Linked DNA regions of Callithrix jacchus. The protein of the gene in region 6 interacts with the protein of the main gene of each other region in a pairwise test. Links are inferred from orthologs where the notes say so. Each region holds a gene or a part of one and is shown on either strand. Other genes may lie near its edges. The genes, in order: TMUB2, RTL8C, TXNDC12, MIEF2, SRGN, UBQLN1 and FZD7.

Evidence for each region.
Region 1: the proteins of UBQLN1 (region 6) and TMUB2 interact in binary tests that used the Homo sapiens proteins (3 or more experiments, as listed by UniProt). The link is inferred for Callithrix jacchus from reciprocal best matches to the Homo sapiens genes UBQLN1 and TMUB2.
Region 2: the proteins of UBQLN1 (region 6) and RTL8C interact in binary tests that used the Homo sapiens proteins (3 or more experiments, as listed by UniProt). The link is inferred for Callithrix jacchus from reciprocal best matches to the Homo sapiens genes UBQLN1 and RTL8C.
Region 3: the proteins of UBQLN1 (region 6) and TXNDC12 interact in binary tests that used the Homo sapiens proteins (3 or more experiments, as listed by UniProt). The two-hybrid records come from large-scale screens. The link is inferred for Callithrix jacchus from reciprocal best matches to the Homo sapiens genes UBQLN1 and TXNDC12.
Region 4: the proteins of UBQLN1 (region 6) and MIEF2 interact in binary tests that used the Homo sapiens proteins (3 or more experiments, as listed by UniProt). The two-hybrid records come from large-scale screens. The link is inferred for Callithrix jacchus from reciprocal best matches to the Homo sapiens genes UBQLN1 and MIEF2.
Region 5: the proteins of UBQLN1 (region 6) and SRGN interact in binary tests that used the Homo sapiens proteins (3 or more experiments, as listed by UniProt). The two-hybrid records come from large-scale screens. The link is inferred for Callithrix jacchus from reciprocal best matches to the Homo sapiens genes UBQLN1 and SRGN.
Region 7: the proteins of UBQLN1 (region 6) and FZD7 interact in binary tests that used the Homo sapiens proteins (3 or more experiments, as listed by UniProt). The two-hybrid records come from large-scale screens. The link is inferred for Callithrix jacchus from reciprocal best matches to the Homo sapiens genes UBQLN1 and FZD7.

What each region holds. Positions count from the first base shown.
Region 1 is NC_133506.1:71,038,648-71,042,722, reverse strand, and holds the start of TMUB2 (transmembrane and ubiquitin-like domain-containing protein 2), read right to left. Parts: upstream 2,801-4,075; 5' UTR 2,261-2,800; coding exon 2,256-2,260; intron 2,093-2,255; exon of another isoform or gene 1,998-2,092; intron 1,172-1,997; exon of another isoform or gene 1,086-1,171; coding exon 519-1,085; intron 1-518.
Region 2 is NC_133524.1:130,606,550-130,609,586, reverse strand, and holds RTL8C (retrotransposon Gag-like protein 8C), read right to left. Parts: upstream 1,677-3,037; 5' UTR 1,648-1,676; coding exon 1,306-1,647; 3' UTR 501-1,305; downstream 1-500.
Region 3 is NC_133508.1:89,039,428-89,043,413, reverse strand, and holds the start of TXNDC12 (thioredoxin domain-containing protein 12), read left to right. Parts: upstream 1-1,186; 5' UTR 1,187-1,294; coding exon 1,295-1,391; intron 1,392-3,986. UniProt on the Homo sapiens protein: Protein-disulfide reductase of the endoplasmic reticulum that promotes disulfide bond formation in client proteins through its thiol-disulfide oxidase activity.
Region 4 is NC_133506.1:82,691,929-82,696,203, reverse strand, and holds the start of MIEF2 (mitochondrial dynamics protein MID49), read right to left. Parts: upstream 2,801-4,275; 5' UTR 2,626-2,800; coding exon 2,612-2,625; intron 1,597-2,611; coding exon 1,443-1,596; intron 1,230-1,442; coding exon 1,067-1,229; intron 600-1,066; coding exon 1-599. UniProt on the Homo sapiens protein: Mitochondrial outer membrane protein involved in the regulation of mitochondrial organization.
Region 5 is NC_133513.1:61,004,690-61,008,944, forward strand, and holds the start of SRGN (serglycin), read right to left. Parts: upstream 2,801-4,255; 5' UTR 2,746-2,800; coding exon 2,667-2,745; intron 1-2,666. UniProt on the Homo sapiens protein: Plays a role in formation of mast cell secretory granules and mediates storage of various compounds in secretory vesicles. Required for storage of some proteases in both connective tissue and mucosal mast cells and for storage of granzyme B in T-lymphocytes.
Region 6 is NC_133502.1:99,350,801-99,354,300, reverse strand, and holds part of UBQLN1 (ubiquilin-1), read right to left. Parts: intron 2,836-3,500; coding exon 2,720-2,835; intron 1,780-2,719; coding exon 1,611-1,779; intron 1-1,610. UniProt on the Homo sapiens protein: Plays an important role in the regulation of different protein degradation mechanisms and pathways including ubiquitin-proteasome system (UPS), autophagy and endoplasmic reticulum-associated protein degradation (ERAD) pathway.
Region 7 is NC_133507.1:123,203,729-123,207,799, forward strand, and holds the start of FZD7 (frizzled-7), read left to right. Parts: upstream 1-1,271; 5' UTR 1,272-2,002; coding exon 2,003-3,727; 3' UTR 3,728-4,071. UniProt on the Homo sapiens protein: Receptor for Wnt proteins.

The DNA.
Region 1 (4,075 bases), on a different chromosome or scaffold from region 6:
GCCTGAAATAACAAAGCAAGGGAGTGGGGAAAAATTGGAGGGTGGATTTTTCCCCCCTCATCTTTATCCTTAACTAATGAAGGGTGTATTTCTTTTTTTGAGACAGAGTTTCACTCTTGTCACCCAGGTTAAAGTGCAAAGGCTCACACAACGCTTCCCGGATTCAAGCAATTCTCCTGCCTCAGCCTTCCAAGTAGCTGGGATTACAGACATACGCCACCGAGCCTGGCTCATTTTGTATTTTTAGTAGAGATGGGGTTTCTCCATGTTGATGAGGCTGGTCTCAAACTCCCAACCTCAGGTGATCCACCCGCCTCGGCCTCCCAAAAGGCTGGGATTACAGGCATGAGCCCCCGCACCTGGCCTGAAGAGTGTATTTCTAAGAAAGTATCTACCTGCCCTTAGGAGGGCTTGATCTTATACTTTCCTGCTGCTCCAATGTCTGCACCAGCCTCCTTAGAGGCAACCAAGGGCTGGGGGATGGGCACAAGCAGCCTCCCACTTCCCAGGCCACTCACCTCTTCAGGGCACCCACAGTATCCTCTGGCTTAGCCACAGCCAGCTCCTCGGTATCATTGAGGAATTTGAGCCGCACAGTGATGAGGCCGGGGCTGGGAGGGAGGCAGGTCCTATCCTCAGACCTCAGGGGGGCCTCTGGACTGCTGCTGTCTGCACCTGCTTGTCTTTTGGGCAGGCCTTGGATGTCAAGGAGATGCTCAAGGCTGGGCTCAATACCACCCCCAGCTCCAGCTTCCCCTGTGGAGTCTCCCCCACCTTCGCCAGCCTCTTCAGCCTTCTCGTCATTACCCTCTGATGGATGGGGGAGTTCAGTTGGCTCAGGGTTGCCTTGGCCTGCCACCAGGTGGTCCACATGCCCCAGGTGGAGGACAGACGTGTCGCCTGCTGACACAATAGCGCCCAGTAGCTGGTTGCTACCGCTGTCTGCTACGTAGGTAGAGAGCCAAGCTAGGACCAAGGCTAGAATCAGCACCACCACACCTGCCACCACCATCACCTCATTACCCACGCCCTCAATGAGGGTGACATCAGAGAGCTCCATGGCCTGGCTGCTGACAGGGTCCACGCTGCAGGAACAAAGGGGGATAGCATCAGCAGAGCCTGAGGGTTGCAACCAGGTCTCTAGTTTGTTTAGGTTCTAACTGACCCAGCCCTGAAAAAAAAAATGGAGTTCAGTGTTCTGTAGAATCGGGTACAAACCTTCCCAATTCTGGCGCCTCAACCTAGAGCTGAAGACCTACCCTTTGCCTCTATTGTGAAACTCTTGCTTTCAGGTTCTGTGATCTTCCTCTCTCACACTTTTTTTTTTTTTTTGATGAGAAAAACCTTTGCTTCTTTGAGGCTTAAGTTTCTCTAGGATTTCTAGCACTTGGTCAAGCAAATATGCCTCCTAAGCAGCCTCCAAAGTGGCTTCAGAGAGATCCAAAAGCCTGGAATATTTTCAGATTGAGAATGAGCCACCCCTACTAGATTGTCTCATTTGAGCCTATTTCATTCCTGGTCACAGATCCAGGCTGCCCAGATGTCAAGAGCCAAAGAAAACTGACCTATCATCAAAAGCAGAGTCAGACAACCTCAATGGGATAACTCTGTAGGGGCTGTGAACAGACACTATGCAGCAGACATGATGTGCCGCCTCTGAAGCTTCTGGCAACCCCTGGAGAGCAACGTGGGACAGACACCAAAACACCACCCTCCTGGGTCACCATGGGCCCACTCCTGCAATAACCACTCCCCAAGTGGAAGTGATTTGAAAAAGATTCCCCAACGGCTCTCGCAATCCACATCTCAGTCTCTCTTCTTTCACCGTGAAGCCTCTGCTGCTGCAGTTTCTTAGCAAGACAGGAAGCATCCCTGCTTGCTGCTTGGAGTACCTACTATTTCCCTTGGAGAATCTGCTGCTTTCACAGCTGTCCCTGGGCAAATCCATTATCAGACTATTCTCACAGCACCTATAAAACTTCATTAAACTTATCTACCTGTCCTTTCTCTTAGACTCCTGGTAGACAAGGATCGTATGTATTTCTCTTGGTACTGAAGTGTCCAATATAATGCCCCAGTAGTTACTGAGTATCTGTGGAACACATCAACATCCTTATTTAATATACCGGCCCTGGAGTTAGAAAAACAACTAATTATAACCCCAGTCTTGCGTTCTACTAGCTATGTCAACTCGGACAACTTTCTCAGAGCCTCAGCTTTCTCATCAGTAAAATGGGGTTAAAAATAGTACCTACCTCATGAGGTTGTTTTGAAGATGACGTGAAATCAACGAAGCAAAATACTTAGCACAGTGCCTGGCACATTGCAAATTGCAATTGCTCAATAAATGGTAGCAATTATTTATCACACCCACAACTAACCCCTGATGGTAAGAAGGTTAATTGTCATTAACCATGATTTACAGAAGAGGAAACTGCGGCGAAGAACGATGAAAACGACTGGCACAGACACAGGAAACTCTCGTGGGGAGGGGCCCGGCAGGACCCCAGGTGTCCGGCCTCAGAGGACTTTACTCTGTCCTCAGCCTATGATCTACCCTGACCGTACTCAGACCGCGCGGTGAGGAGGGGTCCCGCACCCTGCTTTTTCTGAGGCGAAAGTTCCGCGTTTGGATGGTCCTATTCCAGCGGCGTTGGACTGGGGTCCATAAGCCCACCCGAACTGAAGGGCTGCCTGGTCCCAGCCGCCGTGCCAAGCCCAGCTCTCCCTGCCGGTGAGGGGTAGCGTCGGATAAGGGGGTCACAAACCGTCCACACCCCTCAAACTTCGGGGCGGGGCTGGGAACTGGGGGCGGGGCTTGAGGACGCGGGGAGTCATGGGAAATTAAAGGTGGATTGGACCAGCACTGTGCCTAGATGGGGAAGCTCTCACCTGAAAAGCCCAGACTAAATGTTTTGACCTCGCCAGGACGGCCCCTGGACTCGTCTTTCCGTAGGGTTCGGGGAAAGGGCTGGCAACCCGCGATTCTGTTCAGGGTCCGGTCGCTTCCGGCTTTTCCCGGAAGCTGTTAGAACCAGGGACAGGAAGTCCCGCCTCCGCGCCTTGCACTGATGACGCAAAGATACGGAAGGCGGGCTGACGTAAAAGGTATTCTTTAAATAAAAGGGACAGGTTTCTCAGCGGAAGCAGGGGTGGAGTCATTGTTGGCGGGATTGCGGCCCTCCTGGAGCTGGGCCACGCCTTGTGGGCGGGGCCTTAGGCAGTCTAGATTGAGGGGGGGCCAGCGGGGAGGTGCTTGGGAAGGGGCGTGGCTTTGCGTCTGCGGAAAGCTTCCTCCGCTGGCGCTGCTGGGTAGAGGCGGTACGGCGTTTCCCTTTCAGCTTTGTTCTTCCGGCTTTGCTGTCTGCCTCCGGGGCTGGTTGAATTCGTTACTGCTTTGCAACGCGCACCGAACTCCAGGTTAGCGGGATTAGTAAGAACTCAGCTCTGGGCCAGTCGGGAAGGCAGATGAGGAGACGAGTTAGTCGGCATCCAGTGCTTGAAGAGTGCGGCCCCAGCTAGTGTGGGACCTGGAGAAAGAAGGGGAGAAAGCATTTCAAAGGCACAAATTCAGCGCAGGCTTAGGGCACAAAAAGGGGGAAAAGTCCAGCTTTCAAGAACTTATCTAGATTTTTGCAATTAAATTTTTTTCTAAAAACGTACTGGGGCCAGGCTGGGTGCCTTACTCCTGTAATCTTAGCGCTTTGGGACACAGAGGCAGGAGAATCAGTTAAGCTCAGGAGTTCGAGGCTGCAGTGAGCTATGATCTCAGCCACTGCATTCCACCCGACAGCGAGGGCTTCTCTCAAAAAAAAAAAGTGCTGGAGTTTGGGGGTTTTGGAGAACTACTGATTGAAGGTTAAATAATGCAGACGGAGCCGGGCGCGGTGGCTCACGCCTGTAATCCCAGCACTTTGGGAGGCCGAGGTGGGCAGATCACGAAGTCAAGAGATCGAGACCATTCTGGTCAACATGGTGAAACCCCGCCTCTACTAAAAATACAAAAAATTAGCTGGGCATGGTGGCGCGTGCCTGTAATCCCAGCTACTCAGGAGGCTGAGGCAGGAGAATTGCC
Region 2 (3,037 bases), on a different chromosome or scaffold from region 6:
CATTAAACAAGTTTGTACCTAAATTAACATTACAGTTCTGCATTCCTTTCTCTACTACCTACCCAATTAAAGCAATATAAATGTAAATGCTCTTTCTTAAGAATCTAAGCCATTCTGCTAGTTCCTTGATAATGGGTTAAATAAAACTATGAGAGGTATTCACCAACAATTGTGTGAGGTGTATGGCTTGTAACCACTTGGAGTATATGCTTTCAGTCAGTTTTTTGGAAACAAAGGAAGAAAAAGCACCCTATCTGACTATTCCTTACCTTATTTTGGCCAAATTCAGATTAAGGTTCATTTCCTAAGGGGCACAAAACTGACTTGTTTACAACATTAATCGTCTGGGATTGGTCACCGGTGGGATCTCCATTTGCAGGACACCACAGGACTCTGTGTCAACATCAGCCATAAGCATAGCAGGGAATATAGCTTTTGAACAAGATATGGACCCCATTTACAGAACCAGGGAGGGAAAAGTGCCATATTCATTGAGACCATTTCTTTTCAATAATGTCTGACATTTATTGAAAATAAGGAAAAGACTTTCTCCAGGTAGTGTATTAGAGCAGAGCAGAATGCAGGGGTTACTGTGTTGAACAAAAGGCACACATCAGAGAGACAGCTGCAAACTCAGAAAACTGGGTTATGGTCAAAACTAACTGGTCCACAAGAGAAAATTAGAGACTCGATTTGGCTGCCAGGCACACCTGGGCCTAGGCAGGAACACAAGAGGTCTTTGGGAGTGGGGAGGAAATAGGTCTCGCTGAAGGTGACAGATCCCTTGGGGTGCAGCCAGCGGTCTGGATCACTGTCCAGGGGCTGTGGCCAGCTCAGATACCTCCGAGGTGAGTCCAGATCACTGGGATGCGGTGGATGGCGATGGCAGTGGCAGCGCAGGTCTGTGGGCAGAATGATGTAGTCGTCTGGCAGTCTCGTGGGGTGGAGGAGGGTTGGCAGCGGCGGCTGTGGGTGGTCTAATCCAGTGTGTAACAGGAGCCCAGCTTGCAGCTGGAGAGCAGGACAGCGTCCAAATATGCATGGGTGGGGCTGGCCGGATGGAAGAAGAGGGCGGCGGCAGCTCGCTCCAAAGTGAGGCCCAGGGGCGGCGGCAGGAGCCTGGAGCGCTATTCCTGGAACAAAGGCAAGCACTACGCGGGAGGGGACAGGAGCGCAGGGGACATCGCGGCGGCTCGAGAGGGAGGGAGGCGAGGAGGGAGGGCACCGGTGGCGACCCTGGCGGCGGCCATTGGCACAGCGGACCCTCTCCAGAGCACCCGCCCCCAGGCCCGAGGGTCTCCAGGCCTAGAAGTCCTCGTCCTCCTCCCATCCAAAGACCCGCTTCATCTCGGCCAGGAAGCCCCGGTAATCATTGAGGAGGGGGCTCTCCTTCTTGATGTAGGGGATCACCCACTGCAGAGCGGGCCCCGTGAGGCGGGTGATGAGGAACGTCACCTTCAGGGCATCGCTGGAGAACGTGTTCTCGTCCACGAACATGTAGGAGCCCGTCTGCACGATGAACTCCGGGAGCCGGTCGGTATCGCCGTCAAACGTCTCGGGAAAGGGAATCGGATTCCTCCAGCGACGCGTCGCAGGCCGGATCGGCAAGGCCAGGAGGGCCTTTATCAGCTGCACCCGACCGTCCATCGCTGCTCTTCGCTTCGCTGGACGTCAATGGGCTCCACCCGGCTCTGCAGAGGTCAGTGCCGAGGCGTCGCCGGAAATGCGTGTCCACTAAGGCCGGCCCAAGCTAGAGTGGGCGGGGCCACAAGCGGAGCTCCAGTCCTCTCATGGACTCCGCCCACAAGGCCGAGTGGTCCCTAGTGCGCAGGCGCGTCGTGGGGCAAACACTGGCGAAGAGGGGCCTAAAGCCATCAAGGAAGCGGGGTCGTATCGGACTTGATGGGCGGAGGTTTCCTAAGTTGGCCGGACCGGGAGCAGGGGAAGAACCAGGGAAACTTGGTGGTGTACCGGGCGCGGGGAGCTGGCTCCGAGAAGCTGTTAGGAGCCCCACCTAGTTCTGGTAGTTGAGGAGTCCTGCCGCTGCACTCGTCCCCACCTCTCATCAGCCTTTGGGTATGCTTTCAGGGACCCTTGGCCCTGGACGCCACTAGTATGAGATTCTGTGAGCACATTTTCCTGCTGCTTCTTGCGTCTCTCAACCAGATTATTGGCTCCCTACTTTGCGACATTATTATAATAGAGAAGCCCCACATATTAGCAAATATAATCTAAAGCAGCATATTCAAAGAGGAATGCACCACGCTTGAGGGGATGGATACCCCATTCTCCATTATGTCATTATTAATATCTAGTATTTGATAGCGCAAAAGGATGACTACAGTCAAAATAATTTAGTTTTACATTTTAAAATAACTAAGAGTATAATTGGATTGTTTGTAGAACAAAGGATAAATGCATGAGGGGATAGATGCCCCATTTACCATGATGTGATTATTATGCATTGCGTGCCTGTATTAAAGCATTTCATGTACCCCATAAATACATATACCTATTATGTACCCACAAAAATTATAAATAATTTTCTAAAAAGAATAATAAATCCACAAGCAGTTAATGTAAGGAGGGTTAAATATTAAGAAATACCTTAATTTGTTATAAAATCTGCCCTCTATTCTCTGCCACATTGTGCTGTGCATAGGCAGTTCACAACACTTCAGCTTGCTTCTTCATGGAACAAAGGGAGAAAGTGTCTCCTTGAAAGTTGGAATCATGTATAAACTAACATAATCATGGGAGTTATATCTCATCACCTTTGCCACATTCTATTGGTTAGAAGCAAGCCATAGTCACAACCTGCACCAAAAGATATGACCAGGACATTGGGATTCTGGGGGCCACCTTAGAATCTGTCTGCCACAGCATGGATATACAAATTTGGTGATCCGTTCATTTGTTGGAGGATATTTGGAACATTTACAGGTTTTGGAAATTACAGAAGAATCAGCTATAAACATTTATGTACAGATTTTTGTGTGAGCCCAGGTTTTCATTTTTCTAGAGTAAATTCCTAGAG
Region 3 (3,986 bases), on a different chromosome or scaffold from region 6:
TCACCTGAAGCAGGGAGGGTCCTCCAACAGCAGCACGCGGCAAGAGCAAGATGGCTGCCTCAGCAGAGACAGAGAAAGACCAAGGCGGCGGCGGCGGCGGCTGGAGCGGGTCCACGTGACAAAGTCGGTCCCGCCTCTCCCTCTCCGGGGCAGCCTATCCTGGGAGCGCACATCTGAACTGCAAAGGCCGGCCTGCTCTGCGAATGCCTCTACTGCTAGTGGCGGCAGGTGCAAGTGCCCGCGCGGCATCCTGGGGCTTGCAGTCTCCCTAGCGTTCCATTGTGTCCCTGCCTACAATTTTAGGGAACCTAACATAAAGGTGGTCGGTATGTTTCTCTTTGGGTGTATACTTTAGTTAGGTTGTTTTTTGGCTATGCATTAAGTACGCACTTTAGGACTCAACTAGTACCAGGAAGAAAGACCGGACATATTCACCTGTTATACAGCGGAGGGGAAAAATTGGGAAGAAATCCTCAAGCTACAAGAAAAATAACCAGAAGCTTTACCCTTTAAAAGCCTGCAGTGACTTCTGTCCTGGTGTGCTAAGTCCACCTAAGTCAGTTTTGCAATAAGAGGCCCTAAGTTTGGTTTTCTCGGAGCTTTTATCAGTTGGTTGCATCATCCCTGAGTAGATTTGCGGTTGCAAGGAAAAATAAGGTACAGAGCTTCTCCAGCGGGAAAGGGTATGCCTGCACGGCACGAGCCCACGCACCGCCGAGGAGGGTTGCAAAGTCTCCTCGGAGACCTGGGCAGGATCCTAACAATGAAATCCAGTTGTCCAGTCTTTATTTGTGGAGAGGGAAGGAGAATCCGAGGCCATTGGGCAAACCGCCCACTGTTGGGAGAGACTGACCTCACCAATCAATAATTTGCGTTTGACTAGGAAGTGCAGCGGTTCTTGGGGGGGAGGGGCTGGACTGGGTGGCGGAAGCAAGCGGCAACGGTTCTCCCGAACCTCTCTCCCGCATTCTTGGCCCACATTTTCCCGCTCCGTCCCAGGACTTGGACACCCAGAATCTAGGAAAAGTAACTTGCGATCGAGAACAGCTCTCGCACTCATCTACGTGATCTGCACCTTTAAACTCACTCTGTGCCGAACGGGACCCCGGAGGCACCACCCACATCCGTCTAACATCACTTCCTTCAGAGTTTGAAAAAAAAAAAAAAAAAAAAAAAAAAAAAATCTGGGAAGGCTACGGGTTGTGCTGACCGGCTCTCGGCTGGCGGTGTGGACCTTCTGCCGGGACTGCGGCCCTGCGTCCGCTCAGCCCGGTGGCTCCGCGCACCTACTGCCATGGAGACACGGCCTCGTCTCGGGGCCACCTGTTTGCTGGGCTTCAGTTTCCTGCTCTTCGTCATCTCTTCTGATGGACATAATGGGCTTGGAAAGGGTCAGACCGCGTTCTTATCTTACTCTTTACTGATCCTGGGCCACAGCGCACTATAACCTCTTCTTGCCCTAACACGTTCCCCTCACGTTCTATCTCTCAGGCCACGCCAGATTTCTTTTTATCTTCCCCAACCACTCCTGGAGTTTGAAGATTTCTTGGCTACCCCAGAAAGAGTAGCGGGTCTGGGCAATGGAGAAGCTGTACTTGAGGCCTCGCTAAATTCTTGGGTTGGGGGAAGGAATGGTCCGTAAATTAAGAAAAGCATGTTTAAGAGCCCAGCATAGTGCCTAGTACTTGGGAAGTCCTGAGGAACGGTCACTTCTCACCTGGAAGAAATAGAGCCGTTGGGGACCTGCGTATGCAGAGAACCCTGTCCTGGGTCTGAAGATTCCGCTCCTTACCTCTTCCGTGAAGACCTGGGTTACTGCCACTTCCTTGCCTTTGGAAGACAGCACCTGCATCCCAGGTAGCCATATCTAGTGCATAAGAAGGGCCAGGTGAAGGGTAGAAGGTGCTCTTTTAAGAGTTCCCGACAATTGTCCTTGCTGTGGTTCAGCGAGTGTGTCTTAAGACATTGAGTTTTCTGTGAATGAGCGATCAGTGGTTAGGTGTGGCCCCTACTCCATTCATTACCTACATCTCCATTCTATGTTTTAACACCTTTCTCCTCATCAGCCCTTACTTAGTTGAATGTTGGATTGACAGTCTGTGAACTCAGGGTTTATGCTTTTCTAAGTAGATGAATTGTAGCATGGATCCCAACCCCTCTTCCATTTTTTTTTCCACTGACCTTACTGTATGGAATGATTCTGCTGCAACCCTGCCGTTTTTGTTTTCTCTTTTTTTTTTTTTGAGACGGAGTTTCGCTCTTGTTACCCAGGCTGGAGTGCAATGGCGCGATCTCGGCTCACTGCAACCTCCTCCTCCTGGGTTCAGGCAATTCTCCTGCCTCAGCCTCCTGAGTAGCTGGGATTACAGGCACGTGCCACCATGCCCAGCTAATTTTCTGTATTTTTAGTAGAGACGGGGTTTAACCATGTTGACCAGGATGGTCTCAATCTCTTGACCTCGTGATCCACCCGCCTCGGCCTCCCAAAGTGCTGGGATTACAGGCGTGAGCCACCGCGCCCGGCCTGTTTTCTCTTATTATTTCACATCTATTGGTTGGTAGTAAGATTGGGTGGGCATTCATTTTGCCTAAATGCAGCCATTCCTTCATTCCAAAAATAATTTTGATCACCTTCTGTATTTTCTGTATTTCAGGCACTGTCCTAGGCATTGGGGATATAGCTGTAAACAGGACAGACAAGGTTCCTACTCTCGTGGAGCTTATTATATTCAAGTCAGAGAGACAGAGTGGACTCATTAACAAATTAATAAACAAGACAGTTTCAGCTAGGAATAAGTGCTGGGAAAACAACAAGACTGTGATAGGAAGTAGGAAGGCTGGGGAGGTTGGGGAAGCTGGCACATCACTTGAGTTATGAAGATCAGGGACAGCTTTTTGGAGAAGGTGATATGTGGGTTTCCATCTCAGTGATGAAACTGCATGACAAATTCTATTAGGCCAGAATGTTTTCAATACTGAGAATCCCATTTTAAAACAGATTATTGTATATTTAAAGTAAAATTGTAAGTACTGAGGGTAACAAGAGTATAGTGTTAGGAACATGGGTTTAGATCTGCGCTTTTTCTTAGGCTTTGTTTGTTTTTGTTTTGAGATGGAGTCTTGCTCTGCTGCCCAGGCTGGTGTGCAGTGGTGCGATCTCGGCTCACTGCAACCAACTCCGGGTTCAAGTGATTCTCCTGCCTCAGCCTCCCAAGTAGCTGGGACTACAGGGGTGCAGCACTACACCCAGCTAATTTTTTTTTTTTTGTATTTTTAGTTGAAATGGAGTTTCACCATGTTGGCCAGGCTGTTCTTGAACTCTGGACCTCAGGTGATCCTCCCTCCTTGGCCTCCCAAAGTGTTGGGATTATAGGCATGAGCCACTGTGTCTGGCCTAGATCTGAGTTTTAATTTGTTCTGCCACTCACCAGCTAAGTAGCCTTGGGCAAGTTTCTTAACTCTCAAAACCTCAGTTCCTCATCTGCAAAATGGGCATCATAACTACCTCAGACACTCAACAAATAATTTACTCTGTTCCAGTTACTGTGATAGGTATAGGTAATAACTTGAAGTCAGGTATTTTGTATCTTTATTACTTGTTAGATATTAAGCTTTGTGTGGTTGTTCTGGTTACCATTGTTGTATAATAAATCACCCCAAAATTTAGTAGGCATGAAGAAATCATTTTATTATGCTCACAATTCTGTGAGTAAGGAATTCAAACAAGGTACATTGGGGAAGGCTTGTCCCTGTTCTGTGATGTCTGGGGCCTCAGCTAAGCTGGTAACCTCTCCATGTGATCTTTCTGCATGAGCTGCTATGGGTTTCCTCACAGTAGCCTTATGGAAGGCTGGATTCCAAGAGTGAGTGCCATAGAGAACAATGTGGAAATGCATGAAATTTTTGTCATCTAGCCTTACAAAGCACATAGCATCACTTCCACTGTACTCTGTAGGGGCAGATTTAAGGGAATGGGACATGGAGGT
Region 4 (4,275 bases), on a different chromosome or scaffold from region 6:
CACGGCCACAGTGAGCTCCAGGCGCTCGTGCTGCACCTCTAGCAGCAGCTCCTCCGAGGCCACGTTGGGTAGGATCAGGCACCCAAGCAGGCTGCCGATGGCCGGCCAGTTGACGGAGGCAGCCAGCGCCTTGTGCAGCAGCTCCAGCAGGATGCGGGAGGAGAGGTAGCCCCCCACCAGGAAGCGGTCCCAGGGGCTGCTCCCTCTGGGGCAGAACTCCAGCTGAGTCCTGCGCACGGCCCAGCAGCGAGGGTCCCTCGCCACAGTGTCCACGCCCGGCACCAGGCTCCACAGGCCTGGCTCCAGTACCAGTGGCACCAGGAGACGCACATGGTCAGCAGCCCCTGCCTGCAGCCCATCGTAGAGTGGCCCCCCAGGCACAAGTGCCCCAAAGGGCAGTTCTGGAAACTTGCTCCGAAAGTAGGCCTGCAGCTCCAGGGCAATGTTGCCAGCCAGCTGTTTGGCCAAAGCCACCTGGGCTGCTGGGATGGTCACACGGTCCCGCTCGAAGGCCAGCAGCCTCTCCTGCAGTGTCAGACACAGCGGTGTTGGGGAGCTGAGCTGTAGTGTCACCTGAAGATCAGTTTCTGCAGGCTCCTCTGCAGAGTGAAGGGGCGAGGAACATGCTGGAACAGCCTGTGATTAATTAAGAAAACACTACCCAACGACTAGCTGTGTGATATCCCCGGGCCTCACTGTCCTCACCTGGGAAGGCACTCAGTCCAGGTCCTCGCTATAGTGAGTGCTTGGTGACGAGTTCTCATTGCCCCAGAGTCCAACACCCTGGCCCTATGGCTAAAATAGCTTCATGCAGAGGAAGTAGACAGGTCATGCCCCTCTGGGCCTCAGTTTCCCCATCTAAAGCTCTCCACCATCACAACGCTGCCACCTTGCTACAGGAGCAGGGCAAAGAAAAACCACCCCCATTAAATGTCTGAGGAGCTCACAACCCAGAGAGAAGCAGGGACTTGCACAGGGTCAGTCAGGGGAGAGCCTGGGCTTCATCTCTCAAATGTGACAACAAAAGGGTATCCACCAACGTGAGAGGGGAAGGAGTGCCACTCACCTGGGGCAGAAGGCGAGGGGATCAAGGGCAACATGGGCTGGCTGAGGGCAGCCGGTGGAGGCCGGGGCTGCAGGTGTGGCGTGGCCTTGAGCAGGCTCAGTTCCTTCCAGCTGTCTCCCTTGGTGTCATCCTCGTCCCGTGGGCTAGTGGCCCTGTCAATGAACTGCAGGCAGAGTCATACAGAGTAGATGAAGTCTGGGCAGCTACAGCAAAGCCCAGGGGAAAAGCAGACCAGGGTGCTGGGGTGGAGAAGCAGGTGACCTGGTCTCCCATGAAGGCCTTGGGCAGTCCCCACCCCTCCCCAGGGCCCCTCTGCAAGGCCCAACCCTGTCCTCCTCTAGGAGCTTCAGGCATGACCTGACCAGCCTGGCCTTACCCGCTTCACGGCCAGGGTGGCAATGCCCAGCACAGCAGCCCCGCCCACGCCCAGCACCAGACGGGCATTGGCCAGGAGGAAGTCCACCACGCTGCCCAGCCCCTCATCGCCACGCCGCTTCCCCCGTTTCTGGGAGAACTCTGCCATGGTCTGCCTGTAAGAGAGCCAGGGGTGAAGGGACAGCTCAGGGTGCAGGTGGCCAGGCTGGTAGAGGGGCTGCTGTGGATAGGTGCTCTGGCTGTCCTTATGCTGGGTAACAGAGCGGAGCCCATAAGGGGGGCTTTCTGAGAATTTCTCATGAGAAAGGGACCCATCCACAGGGGAGGACACCAAGGTCCTGGGAACCATGTAAATTACCTGAGAAAGGGCAGGGCTGGGATAGGAATATGGATTTTGGGGCCCCAAGTCCCCATCTCTCATGAGATGAGGGAGCTGCCAAGCCCTTTCTCTCAAAGCTGCAAACAACCCACCCCCTGGAAAGAAGCTCACAAAGGCCCTGAGGCTTGTGCCAATGAAGGGGCCTATCCTCTAGGACCGCTGACATCACCAGAAACCCGCAAGGTGGGTCTTATCACCACCACCTGTATTTTAAAGAGCTCCAGGCTGCCAGATTGCACAGTGAGTGATAAGGTCTCCAGCCCACAACTACAAGGCCTTCAGACTCTCATCCGCCCCCAGAGTCTGACGGATCCTCTGTGCCAGGTGGCCAGGTCCTTAGCAGCAGCCTCATCTTAAGGTTCCTAACCAGAGGACACAGCAGCTCTCTATGATAACCTCTTGAGAAGACCCCAAAGTCCAGAGAAGACCAACAATATTTGGGGCCCCCACCAGTCTGGGGGACCTCTGGGACCAGTTACCCCCCAAATCTTGACAGGGTAGCCCCAAGAGGCAGAACTACCAAGTCAGAGCACAGGCAGAGTGAGATGGCCCAAGCTGCCCAGGCAGGCCAATGAAGACATGCAAGTCAAGGGCCGAGGCCCCTCCGGCAGGGCAACAAGCAAGGTGACCTAAAAGATCAAGACCCAGAAAAAGGGCTGCCCAGGACCTCTGTACAGTGGGCTCTTTGGGCCTCTCAGTCTTGGTGGCGGTGGGTGATGCTTCTCAGCTGCTAGGAGGCCAAGCAACAGAGAAGGTAAGGTGAGGGCCTGGGTCCCAGCCTGTTTGCTCACCTGTAAGATGGCATGGGCAGCAGTGTGTGGTTGGGTGGGGCCCTGCACTTGGGAGGTGGAGGCAAAGATCTCCTGCGGCCCAGTCCACCAACCCCCAGCCTCACGTTCTGCGAGCCGGACACTGCCCTCAGTTCCTGGGAGCTGAGCGGCGCTGTGACCTTAGGACATCAGACGACATGCAGAACTCTCCCAGAGAGGCCTGAGCAGATGACCATGAGGTCACAGCCTGCCCGGGCACCAAGGACTTCTACCTGCCCTGCCAGAGTGTGGGTGCCAGGGGCTCAGTTGCCAGGTGACCAGATGCCTGCAGTAGCTGAAGCCTGAAGTGCTGTGTGACTCAGCCCCGGACACCCGCCCATTCGCCCCAGACTAAAAATAAGACGTTCTCTGGGGCGATCCCAGGCCAAACGGGTGACCCGCTACGGCCCCAGGGCCGGTTTCAGCCTCCTCATTCGTGACACGGGGATCAATACTGCCACCCGACCCCAGAGAGACCAGGAATCTACTTTGCAAACTGTAAAGCGCTTTAAATATTCCCAACCTGTCTAAATTGGGACTCAGACCCACCGCTTGCGGGGTCGCACAGGCCTCAGCCCACAGCCTTCCAGGTCCTAGAAGCGGGAGAGGGCACCGGTGGCTGAAAATAACCCGAGTTTGCGCACCGGTGCCCTGGAGGCCCTCTGGCCTTCCTCCTCCTCCGTCAAATCTGCCTGCCCTGGGCCTGGGCTGAGCGGGCCGCGCAGCAGCCCTAGGTGAGCGGGTGACGCCCTGTTCGCAGGGAAACCGAGAGACCAAGAGGGGAAGGGGGCCGGGCTGGGATTCGAACGCGGGCCTTGGTTCCCAAACCCTCCCGGCCTTACCCAGCGGCGACGGCGGGCCACGCCCCCGATTTGCGTTCCGTAGCGCACCAAGCCCCGGGCCCGTTGACTCTGGGGGCCGCCCCGCCGCCTTCCAGCCGTACCTGCGTCGCAGCGTCCGCACAATGACCGGAGGAGGCAGCAGGACCACGGCCCCTAAGCTCGGACCTTTCTGGGAATGGAACGAGAAGGAACCTGGAACCCAACGTTGAGGGACCCGGGGGCGGCCGCGGAAGCCGCAGGACGCAGACAAGCAGACCCTGCCTCCAATCGGAGCGCGAAATCCAGCACACGTGTTCCAAAATACTGCGCGGCTCAGCCAATGAAGGGTATGCCCCGCCCCCCAGCCAACTGACACGCTCCCTCGGGGCGGGACTCTCTGACGCAGTCTGGATTTAAAGGTGCAGGGCTGCATTCGGAGCCCGCGACCGGGTATTGTGACAGGCAGCCTTCTTAGACGCCTGTGCGTTGTAATGTGAGCGCCGAGTGTGAAGGAAGCTGTCTGGGCCCCCTTTACTTCCGGGGGCCGAGGCACATCTAACCTCTTAGATCACCTCTGCGAGTGTGTCTTGGTGGCTTCATTCTTAACCTGTGGGCCTGCGGGGCACACAGTGTGGTGAAAGCGCCTACCCCTGCCACCTGTTCCGTGCGACCTTGTGTGGGCCGTTCTCCACATGGGCCTCAGTTTTTCTCCTGTAAAATGGGGACACCAGACCCCCTCCTCCCCTGCGAATGGTGGCTAGTCATATAACAGCTGTGGCTCATGTTTTAGGGGCCTGCTATGTGTCAGCCAGGGTAAGCCCCTGC
Region 5 (4,255 bases), on a different chromosome or scaffold from region 6:
GTCAGATCTAGTTTTCTGGTGCTAATTCCCCCTCACAGGGAATGTGATGATGATTATCAGAGTATAGATGTGAAATCACTTTGCAAACAGCAACACAATGAATGGATTGATATCATTCCTGTGAGCTAGGAGACAGTGGGCAGGGGACACACGGAGGACCTGGCCCCCTTGGCCACACCTGTTCAAGGATATCACATTTTCTCTCTATCTCTCTTTTTTTTTTTTTTAAGATGAGGTTTCAGCATGTTGGTCAGGCTGGTCTTGAACTCCCGACCTTAGGTGATCCACCCGCCTTGGCCTCCAAAGTGCTTGGATTACAGGCATGAGCCACCACTCATGGCCCCCATTTTTTCTCTTTATGGGAGTCATTGGAAAAGAGAAACAATAAGCGTGTAAGATTCACAAGCCTTATCAAATCCCCTGGAGCTCTCCATTAAATAGATTAGTCATCTGTGCTCTCCAGGGTTACCCACACATCCCCAAATTGCCATTTCTTTGTGCTGGGTAGGCACAATTTTACCCCATGTCTTTATTTGGGTGTGACTTATAGTAAAAATATACCACCACCAAATTTGTATGTTGAAGTTATAACCCACAGAATCCCACAGTGTGAAATTATTTGGAAATAGGGTCATTGCAGATGTAGTTAGTTAAGATGAGGTCATTAGGGTGGCCCTGATCCAATGACTGGTGACCTATGAGAAGACGGTATTAAGACACATGCGTGGAGGGAAAGCCATCTATAAGCCAAGGACAGAGGCCTCAGAATGCGACCAACCCTGCCAGCACCTTGATCTTGGACTCCCAACTCCAGAACTGGGAGAAAAAAAAATTCTGTTGTTTAAGCCACCCAGTCTGAGGCACTTTGTTATGGCAGCCCGAGCAAACTACTACAGTAATCTGAAATGGTTTTGAAAATGTTCAGTATAAGCCAGCCAAAAGCCTAGTTGATTTGATCAGCCAAACCAAGGGGCTAGATAAACACCTTTTATAAGATGGGAAGAATGTTTTTGAATCATATCTGGCATCGTGTGGAGGTGTGAGGAAAGGGTGTCACGACCCTTCACATCGCAGCCTCGTGCGGCAGTCACTCACACATGCAGCCATGGGGAAACATCTATTTCCCTGCGCACTCAGATGTGGGCACAAGCCCTTGAGCCGATACCAAGAGCCTTTTTTCAGAACCATGTTTGTCAGTTTCTCCCTTGTCTCTTTCTATGGTTTCCTTTTCTAACAGCTAAACCTATGAGGTCATGACGTAAATGGTAGCGTTCTATCCAATTTCATGATGAATTATTTTTTTCTTCATTTCTTTCTAATGAACACTGTACAAGGAACGTTGTTGTTTTCATTCTAGTTTTCCTTAATCAATCTTAGCAGGAAATTCATGTTTCTGGGAAATTTTGGAAACATACAGACGTACGTATCTCTGGCTGCGGCATGCCCAGCACCACCGAGCCACTCAAGACTGTATTAAAGTATGGACCTCATTGCTCTTGATCTTGTCAGACCACATGGTTCTTAGGGAATTATTTCATCAAGCTGAACGTATTCCCTAAACGGTCCAAGTGAAGTCTGTTCCCTACAACTGACTATGTTTTACATTTAAAAAATACATGGATTAATAAAGCTCCGGCAAAATTACTTGCTGTTTTTTCAGTATTAACATTTAGAAGAAAATGAGATTTTATAAATTTCCAACATAAAATGAATGTCTCTGCGATCATCTGTAAGATTTCATCTCTACATCGTGACAACCGAAAAGTCAGTTTGACGAAACAAATCTAGGACGTGTGTGTCATTGTGACTCAACATTTCCCTTACCATCTGGGGGAACCTAGTGTTTTTCTGCTCTCAGTTCTGCCATCTCTCTATCAGGCCGTGACTTCTTTCTTATTTCGACATGATTCGTTATTTATCAAAGGAGAGCAAATTGTATTTTTCTTACAAACTGATCATTGTTATCGTCTTAGTCATTAGAGGTTTTAAGTTGTCTCAGTCTGACTAAACAGCACTAAACAATAGATAAACCTAGGAAGATATTTCCGAATATGATGTTTCTCTGAGCAACAGCCCAAATACCACATTCTGTGGCCTTCTCTTTAAAATCTGAGAGGGTTTGCATTAACTATGTCTAATCATAATTGAGTTTTCAGTAAGAACCAAGTTTATCTTTAAAAAAAAGAAAAAAATACACACAGTCAAATTCACCCCAATTGAAATATAATATCTCCCAGTGTTAAAATAACAATGACACCATCACAGTGCACTAAAACTTGGGGCTGATGTAGACACCTAGGGTTAGGCAGAAACCCGCAAACACTCAAAGGTCCCATCTCCTCCATGCAACGGGCACAGAAGTCACTTTCTAGATTCCTTTTTTGAGCTTTCAAAATTTATAAACCTCATACTTTCGTCCCAAAATAAATTAGCACATTTCAATCATTGTAAGAGTTTACAAGACTGTGCGTGCCTCAAAGTTTAATTTTTCTTGGTACCAAACTTAACTGAATTCATATTAAAGGGTTCAGCCACCCCAAATCCTTCTTCTTTGCCTCCTATCCTACAATATTATACATTCTGTGCCTTAAAGTGAATATAATGACTTGTATGGTCTTGGGGGCTTACAGAGAAGATGGCTGGGGAACAAGACTCCTGAGTCTTACCTTGAACTGAGGATTCCAGAACCAGGATGAGGGCAAGAGCCAGGACGAGCCGACTGCATTTGAATAGCTTCTGCATCATGACCAACTCCGTTCAGCTTTCCCGGCTGCACACCAACTTCTTGATTAGGAAATGTAGCAGGGTGCTCTCTGTCCCTTTTAGAAAAGGTTCCAAAACCTCAAACCCTGCCCAGAACACACGTCATAATTTCCTGAACAAATAGGAAGAGATTCACATCAAAACCCAGAAAGAAAGGGGGAAAAAAACACGGTAAAATAACTATTCATACCATTATGAAACTACACTGGACTGCCCCCAGGCCTGCTTCTTCAGAAGTTTTGTTGTTTGCCACTTGCCTGTTAGACATTTTTTTCCCACCGAAACAGCAGAATCAGCATTCGTGATAGTTTGTTTTTCCTTTCTTCAGGTAACAATCTAAACATGAAATTGCTAATATTAAGAATCTGCTGCATTTCTGATGAGATAAGGGACCTAGGTGCTGCCTTTTCGTCACTGAGCACTTTCAACATAAAGTGTTGTCTTCATTTTCTTTCTCACCAGGGAGTAGCATACCTCACTGAGCCAAGCTCGTGAACTGAAACTTCAAAGCTGAGCTCTAACCTTCAAGAATGAGTTGTCGGTTTTCAGATGAACAGTTTCTTCTTAAACTCAGTTTATTGCATTGGATCATTGGCTCTCTCTCTCTACCTCAAGAACATAGAATTTTCAGTTACAAAGACCATGGTAAAATAGAAAAATTCAGCTGGGCGCAGTGCCTTATACCTGTAATCCCAGCACTTTGGGAGGCCAAGGCAGGTGGATTGCCTGAGCTCAGGAGTTCCAGACCAGCCTGGGCAATATGGTGTGGTGGCCTGTGCCTGTAGTCCCAGCTACTCGAGAGGCTGAGGAAAGAGTTTTATTTGAACCTGGGAGGTGGAGGTTGCAGTGAGCCAAGATCGCACCACTGCACTCCAGCCTGAGCAACAAAGCCAGACTCGGTTTCCAAAAAACAAACATACAAACAAATAACAATAACAACGACAACAAAAAATTCTTTGCATTTCTCTCTCCTTCACATTGAGCATTTCTTATGATTAGACTCCATTTCTACTCTTATCTATTCTCCTAGTCAAAATTTTCAACTTGAGTTTTGGGTCATCTGGCCTTGAATAAGCTAGAAATCAGGAACGAGGGAGAGGTTGTTGTCACAGTGAGCTACTGGACCTCAGAAAACAACCCAAACCTCTGCCTCATGTAGTAAATGAAGGAACAGCATTTTCCCCGGGCATGGTGCACATTTCTGGAGGACTAAGGCTCCACATTAAAGTTATACAATAAATACCAGCCTATCGTCCATCCTTGCCCTTGAGACGTATAAATTTTCCTTACTTCCTTACAAGATTCAACCACTCTCCATTTCAACATGTCTATCCCTACCACTCCCCCAGACAGCTTAATGCACGTGCCCCATTTTCCATTTTCATCCTCGCCCTTGCCTGGCCTTTGATAGGAGGGAGGAGTTTCCTTTCCCTTGTTTTAGGCTTCCTGCTGATTCCTTTACCATTTCCTGCCAAGGACAGAGCCTCACAAT
Region 6 (3,500 bases):
TATCACGTACATGCAGAAAAACTTTAAAGTATATATACAAATAGTTCAGAATTAGATGATATGCGTAGCTACTGACCAATTGAGTAACTACAGAAGCCAATATCCTCATGCATAAAATTCTAAAGCTTCAATGATTGTTCGAATGAATGTGAGTTTAACTTCTGCACTGGCCAATTCTTAGAAAAGAGCTTCAGTTTCAGGCCCAAAATTACACTCTTAATTCTGACAATTCAGCAGCATCATATCTTTTTTCTTCAGAAATGAAGTTAAAAAAAAAAAAAAAACCCACATAAATGACCAATCAGTCCTAGCAGTCCTACTGATTTGGAGGCTTGTAAGTTAACTTATACAACAATTGATTCTAATACCCCAAATCCTGTTTTCTTATTTATTCTATGAATATTTACTGAGTACCTACCATGAGCCAGAAACTAGGGTATGCTAGGTATCAGGAATACAAACAAGCATGAAACAGACCCCACCCTGTTTATTATATTAAGCCTTGAAAACAGAAAGCAGGCCAGGCACAGTGGCTCATGTCTGTAATCCCAGCACTTTGAGAGGCCAGGGCAGGTGGGATCGCTTGAGCTCAGGAGTTTGAGACCAACCTGGGCAACATGGCGAAACCCCATCTCTACAAAAAATACAAAAGTGGGAGGACTGCAGGAGCCCAGGACATGGAGGTTGCTGTGAGCTGTGATTGCACCCAGCCTTAGACTCTGTCAAAAGGGAAAGGGAAAGAAAAAAAAGGAAGAAGGAAAGGCAACGAAAGGAAAGGGGAAAGGGAAAAGGGAAGGGGGAAGAGGATGGAGAAAGGGGAAAGGGGAGGGAAAAGAGGAAAGGGGAAGGGGAAGGGGAAGGGGACAAGGTAAGGGGAAAAGGGGAAAGGGAAAAGGGAAAGGGGAAAGAGAAAGGGGAAAGGGGAAAGGGAAAGGGGAAAGGAAAGAAAAGAAAAAAGAACAGAAAGCACCTAACAGACCTTTAAACATTAAGAAATTTGGGGACAACCTAATAAAATAGGTTTGAACTGGCAATCATCTTTATATAATGGCACATTATTAGTAAAGCCAATAAATGTTTGTAGATGCAAACACATTATTAGGAGTCCATATTCTTTAGCCATATTTGCAAGACATATATATGCAACACAACCTACTGAAGGAGGTGGTTTGATGGGTGGGGTAAGGTAGTTAGGACTTTTTTCCAGTCAAAAGACTAGAATACAGTTTTCCTGGAGGTACTTGGCATGATCAAGTTTCCATTCCTCCCCAAGAACTTTTTTAAAGCAAAACCTATTTCAAATGATTTTCAAATAGGAACTCCACATACAGAAAAGGCATTTTTAAAGGAAATTCCTAAAAATTAAGACTTTAGGTTGCAGCCTGTCTTTCCTACAGCCATAACAATGTTTCCTTTAGTGTCTTACATAGCACCAAAGTCAACAATTTTTGTAATGCTTGTTTCTTATTCAATACCCTTAAGACTGTATTGTTCATTAATCTAAACACCTAAGAACTACTGCTTTCCTTTTTTCCCTTTTCCTTCTTTTTGGAAATTTCTAAATTTCTAACATTAAGGAATATAAAACTTGAAGGGAAAAGAGCTGATACCTGAGGATTTACTCCAGCAAGAGCCTGTAGCATCTGTTGAATAAACTGCTGATGTCCAGGTTCAGTGGTTCCTGCTGTGGGGCTTGTGTTTTCACTAGGTGCAGCATTAGAGCCATTGGTTCCTGAAGAGCTTCCAGTGCCTCCTAATGCTCCCAAGCCAGGAGTAAACCTAGAGAAAGAACAAATAGGAAATAACCTAAGGTCTTGCAAAACCAAAGCCCAGTCAGTAAATCAGTTACATTTTAATATAATATAAGCTAAGTTATCTTTTTAAAATAAGCCTTCTCGGCCTGGTGCAGTGGCTCATTTTGGAAGACCAATGATCCCAGCAGCCCAGCAACGTGAGATCAGCTCAGGTAACACAGTGAGACCTCATCTCTTCAAAAAATAGAAACAAAATTAGCTGGGTGTGGTGGTGCACACCTGTAGTATCAGTTATTTGGCAGGATGAGGTATGAGGTAGGCTTGCATCCAGGAGGGGGAGGCTGAAGTAAGCTGAGACTGTGACACTGCACTCCAGTCTGGGCAACAGAGTAAGGCTCTATCTTACGAATTTAAAATATAATAATCGTTTTTAACTTTAAAAACCCTGACTTAAAAACAATCATAGCTTGGCACTGTGTCCCAGCTACTGGGGAGGCTAAGGTGAGAGGATCGCCTGAGCCTAGAAGTTCAAGTTCAGCCAGGGTAAAAGAGCAAAAGCCCATCTCTATAATAATAATTTTAAAAAAGCCAGATGCCGTGGCTCATGCCTGTAATCCCACCTTGGGAAGCCATGGCTCCTGGTTTGAGACCAGCCTGGGCAACAAAACCTTGTCTCTAAAAACGTGTGTGTGTGTGTGTGTGTGTGTGTGTGTGTGAGCTGGGTGTGGTGATGTGCACCTGGAGGGAGGCTGGGTGAGAGAATCCCTAGAGCCTGGGAAGTTGAGGCTGCAGTGAGCCACAACTGCACTATCACACTCACAGCCTAGGTGACTGGGCAACACCCTGTCTCAAAAAACAACAACAACAAAAAAAAAAACACAAGGCAGGCAGCATAATACTAACACTGAAATTCTCAGAGAAAGTAACCATTATGCACCTTAATTATCTTCCCCAAATAAGCCTACCCTGGAATAAGGCCCGGGGCTTCCGTTGCTAAAGTCTGTAAACCCTGCTGAATCTGTAACAAGGCCTGCATTGCTCTAGGGTTTGACATTGCTGATAGTGTATCAGGATTCTGCATCTAAGAAAGAAAAAAAACTAGTGGTTACAAAGGAATTAAAATCAGTGAAAGTAAGTTTTACAATCTTTGTTATGCTTCCGGAGAAAATCTAAAACCTTACTCCTAGACATTGGTATTTCTGTCCCCAAATAAACACAAGTATCTCCTCTTTGACAGCAAACCTAGTATGAAAATCTTTACTTGACCTCCTCCTAAGTCCATCATGAAAGCCATTTTCATAATGGAAGACAATCAAAAGCTACTCTGGAAGCCACAACTATTCCCCTTCTCCAATAGAAGATAAAGTATTATTTCTAAAAGACAACCTCCAAATACACAATTCTTACAACATGGTAATATGGTGAAAGCCACATATTCCACCTAACCAAGTGTTACCTGTTACTAATTTAACAATTTTACCAGTAAGGTACACTCTAAAACAACAGTTCCAAATTTGACAATACATGTATCCTGAATTTAGCTTTACTACTTCCAAATATACACCACCTGACTAACCAAAGATAGGCTTACATCATTACAATAGATCAAGGATACCAACTAACCTTGGAAAATGGTTTACAAGCCTGAGAGTCACTACAAAATATATAAAGCCCCAGAACTACCAGTTTCAAAACACCAAGACTGACTTCTCTTTTATCGTTTTAAATAATAAAATACCATGGCCA
Region 7 (4,071 bases), on a different chromosome or scaffold from region 6:
CATTTTCCTGCATGGGAATTCCTGATATTCCTGGTAGCCCAGAGAGGGGAGAGGCCCCCTGGTGACTTCTGACCTCTCCAGGAGTAACCAGAGAGCGCGCGTGAGCGCCCAGCCCCTGGCGCAAGACGAAGATTTAACCGAGAACAAAAGAACGTTTGCCAATCAGAAAACCCTACCCGAGAACAAGGATGACCCCGCTTTGTGTTTTGAAAACTCTTTAATTAGCCAATTCCCTGGTTTCTAAGATGCATTTAAACATTTCTGCGCAGATTCTAAATGGAGGATCAAATGGTTCCTTCTGCAATGAAGATGGGATCCCTAAAGGCCACATGCCGCAGAACCAAGGCACACGGGGCCACCGAAGACGCGCGTCGCGTCGTACAGTGTTCCTGGGCACTCAGTCTCAGGTTACTTCTAGAACCAGTCCCCCCACCGCCGTCTTCGTTTCCTTAAAACCTCGCTACGGCCACCCCAGCTCCCCAGACTCCAGGCCGTGCGCGCAGGCTGGGTGGCCTGAGCCCGCGCCTCGCGCCCCCCCCCCCCGCGCGCGCTCTGGGCCCTTCCTCCGAGGGGTCGGCCCTTCCTCTCGTCATTCGGCCCCCTCCGCCCGACTCGGGTTTCTCCTTGGAGGTGGCCCCTCCTCCTTTTAACAACTCGGGGGAGGGGATCGGGGACTGTGGCTTCGCGTGGACTGTTTGGGTCCGGGGGTAGAGAAGCGATCGGCAAGGCGCACCCCCTTCTCGCCCCGTCCCAAACCCCACAGAAGGACCCAACGACCCGAAAGCCGAGCCAGAGCCAGCTTTGCAGCCCTAACGCTACTCGGGGTCACGTCTCTCCCCGCAGGGGCGCTGCGTGGTCCTCGCTCCCGCAAACGCCGCTGGCGAAGGCTCCTTTGCTCAGGAATGCGCATCTGAGTGCACCAGGAAGAGGAACGAATCTTTGAAGCAAATTCCCTTTCTGTGCGTTTTCCCCCCTGAGAGAATTCAGGGTAAAAGTTTTTCCTAACTTTTCCCTCCCAGTCCCCCGCCCCTCCCCTCAGGAATCCGCCCTGAGCGCCGCGGCACCGCCTTCGCCGCTCCCTGCCCGCCCCTTCCGACTTCCGCCCAATCCGAAGGCGGCTGCCGAAAAAACAAAGGCCGCCATTGGGCCGCCGGGGCCTGGGGCCGCCCCCGGAGTGGTTTGTGAATGGGGGGAGGGGAGGGGAGGGGGCGGGCCGGCCCGGAACCCTGCGAGCCCGACGCTTCTTCTGGCGACCAGCGCGACTCCGAGGCGTTAGTCGGCGCTCCCTCCTGGCGGGCGGCGGCGGCGGACGCCTGGACTCGCGGCTGGGGCTGCGCGGGGCTGGAGGGGCCGGGGCCAGGTCGCGGGCACTGGCGCCGCGCGGCTTTGGACGCAGTGTGACTGGATTTCCAAAAAGAACTCGCCGCGCTCCCGGCTTCGGAGCCGAGATCGGACTCAGCGAGAGCCGGCCGTTTGGCTGAAACTTGGGGCCGAGCTTTTGGGGCTGAAGAAGGAGCGGGGTGTGGAGGAGGAGGCGAAGGAGGCGGCGGCGAGCGGAGCCTCGAGGCCAGGAGGCGGAGCAGCACCGGAGAGGCGGCGGCCGGGGCGAGCAGGCGGCGACGCCGGGGATTCTCCAGGCGGGGGCCGGGCCGGGCGCGGGGGGCGTGCGCGCTGCTGTGCGCTGGGGGTCCAGAGACTTGGGCAAACTTTGAAGGGTCCCGGGAGCCGCTTGTTGCTCCTCGGCGCCCCCAACCCAGGCTGACGAGTTTTGGGCCCCTGGCGGCCCTGCGACTGCCGGGCGGAGGCGGTGGAGGCGCCCCCGCGGCGCGGGCATCTCGGCGGCAGCGCCCTCTGCTCCCCGCCGCCCACGGCCGGGCCCAGGCGCCTGGAGGGTTCTCATGATCCGGGCGCGGCGACGCCTCCCCGCACCCGCATCCAAGCCTCTCCCAACCGCCTCGTCGCACTCCTCGGGCTGAGAGCACCGCTGCACCCGCGGCCGGCGATGCGGGGCCCCGGCGCAGCCGCCTCGCGCTCTCCCCTGGGCCTTTGCGCCCTGGTGCTGACGCTGCTGGGCGCGCTGTCCGCGGGCGCCGGGGCGCAGCCGTACCACGGAGAGAAGGGCATCTCCGTGCCGGACCACGGCTTCTGCCAGCCCATCTCCATCCCGCTGTGCACGGACATCGCCTACAACCAGACCATCCTGCCCAACTTGCTGGGCCACACGAACCAAGAGGACGCGGGCCTCGAGGTGCACCAGTTCTACCCGCTAGTGAAAGTGCAGTGCTCTCCCGAACTGCGCTTCTTCCTGTGCTCCATGTACGCGCCCGTGTGCACCGTGCTCGATCAGGCTATCCCGCCGTGCCGTTCCCTGTGCGAGCGCGCCCGCCAGGGCTGCGAGGCGCTCATGAACAAGTTCGGCTTCCAGTGGCCCGAGCGGCTGCGCTGCGAGAACTTCCCAGTGCACGGCGCGGGCGAGATCTGCGTGGGCCAGAACACGTCGGATGGCTCCGGGGGCCCAGGCGGCGGCCCCACTGCCTACCCTACTGCACCATACCTGCCGGACCTGCCCTATACCGCGCTGCCCCCGGGGGCCGCAGATGGCAGGGGGCGTCCCGCCTTCCCCTTCTCATGCCCCCGCCAGCTCAAAGTGCCCCCCTACCTGGGCTACCGCTTCCTGGGTGAGCGCGACTGCGGCGCCCCGTGCGAACCCGGCCGTGCCAACGGCCTGATGTACTTTAAGGAGGAGGAAAGGCGCTTCGCCCGCCTCTGGGTGGGCGTGTGGTCGGTGCTGTGCTGCGCCTCGACGCTCTTTACTGTTCTCACCTACCTGGTGGACATGCGGCGCTTCAGCTACCCAGAGCGGCCCATCATCTTCCTGTCGGGCTGCTACTTCATGGTAGCCGTGGCGCACGTGGCCGGCTTCCTTCTGGAGGACCGCGCCGTGTGCGTGGAGCGCTTCTCGGATGATGGCTACCGCACGGTGGCGCAGGGCACCAAGAAGGAGGGCTGCACCATCCTCTTCATGGTGCTCTACTTCTTTGGCATGGCCAGCTCCATCTGGTGGGTCATTCTGTCGCTCACTTGGTTCCTGGCGGCCGGCATGAAATGGGGCCACGAGGCTATCGAGGCCAACTCGCAGTACTTCCACCTGGCCGCGTGGGCCGTGCCCGCCGTCAAGACCATCACTATCCTGGCCATGGGCCAGGTGGATGGGGACCTGCTCAGCGGGGTGTGCTACGTTGGCCTGTCCAGTGTGGACGCGCTGCGAGGCTTTGTGCTGGCGCCTCTGTTCGTCTACCTCTTCATCGGCACGTCCTTCCTGCTGGCGGGCTTCGTGTCTCTCTTCCGTATCCGCACCATTATGAAACACGACGGCACCAAGACGGAGAAGCTGGAGAAGCTCATGGTGCGCATCGGAGTCTTCAGCGTGCTCTACACTGTGCCCGCCACCATCGTGCTGGCCTGCTACTTCTACGAGCAGGCCTTCCGCGAGCACTGGGAGCGCACCTGGCTCCTGCAGACATGCAAGAGCTACGCTGTGCCCTGCCCGCCCGGCCATTTCCCACCCATGAGCCCCGACTTCACCGTCTTTATGATCAAGTACCTGATGACCATGATCGTGGGCATCACCACTGGCTTCTGGATCTGGTCGGGCAAGACTCTGCAGTCGTGGCGCCGCTTCTACCACAGACTCAGCCACAGCAGCAAGGGGGAGACTGCGGTATGAGCCCCGGCTCCTCCCCACCTTTCCCATCCCCTACCCTCTTGCTAGAGGAGAGGCACAGTAGGGAAAGACCTGTTGGGTGGGGGCCTGTTTCTGTAACCTTCTCCCCCTCTACTGAGAAGTGACCTGGAAGTGAGAAGTTGTTTGCAGATTTGGGGTGAGGGGTGACTTGGAAAAGGAGACCTGGATGGAAATCGGTTTGGATGAAAGGACTTCAGGCAAAGACTTACAGGAAGATGATGATGATAACAACGATGTGAATCGTGAAAGGTACGGGCCAGCTTGGGCCTAAGAGAAGGCTGAGACCAGCAGAGACTGCTGTGAGTTTCTCCTGGCTCCGGGGCTGA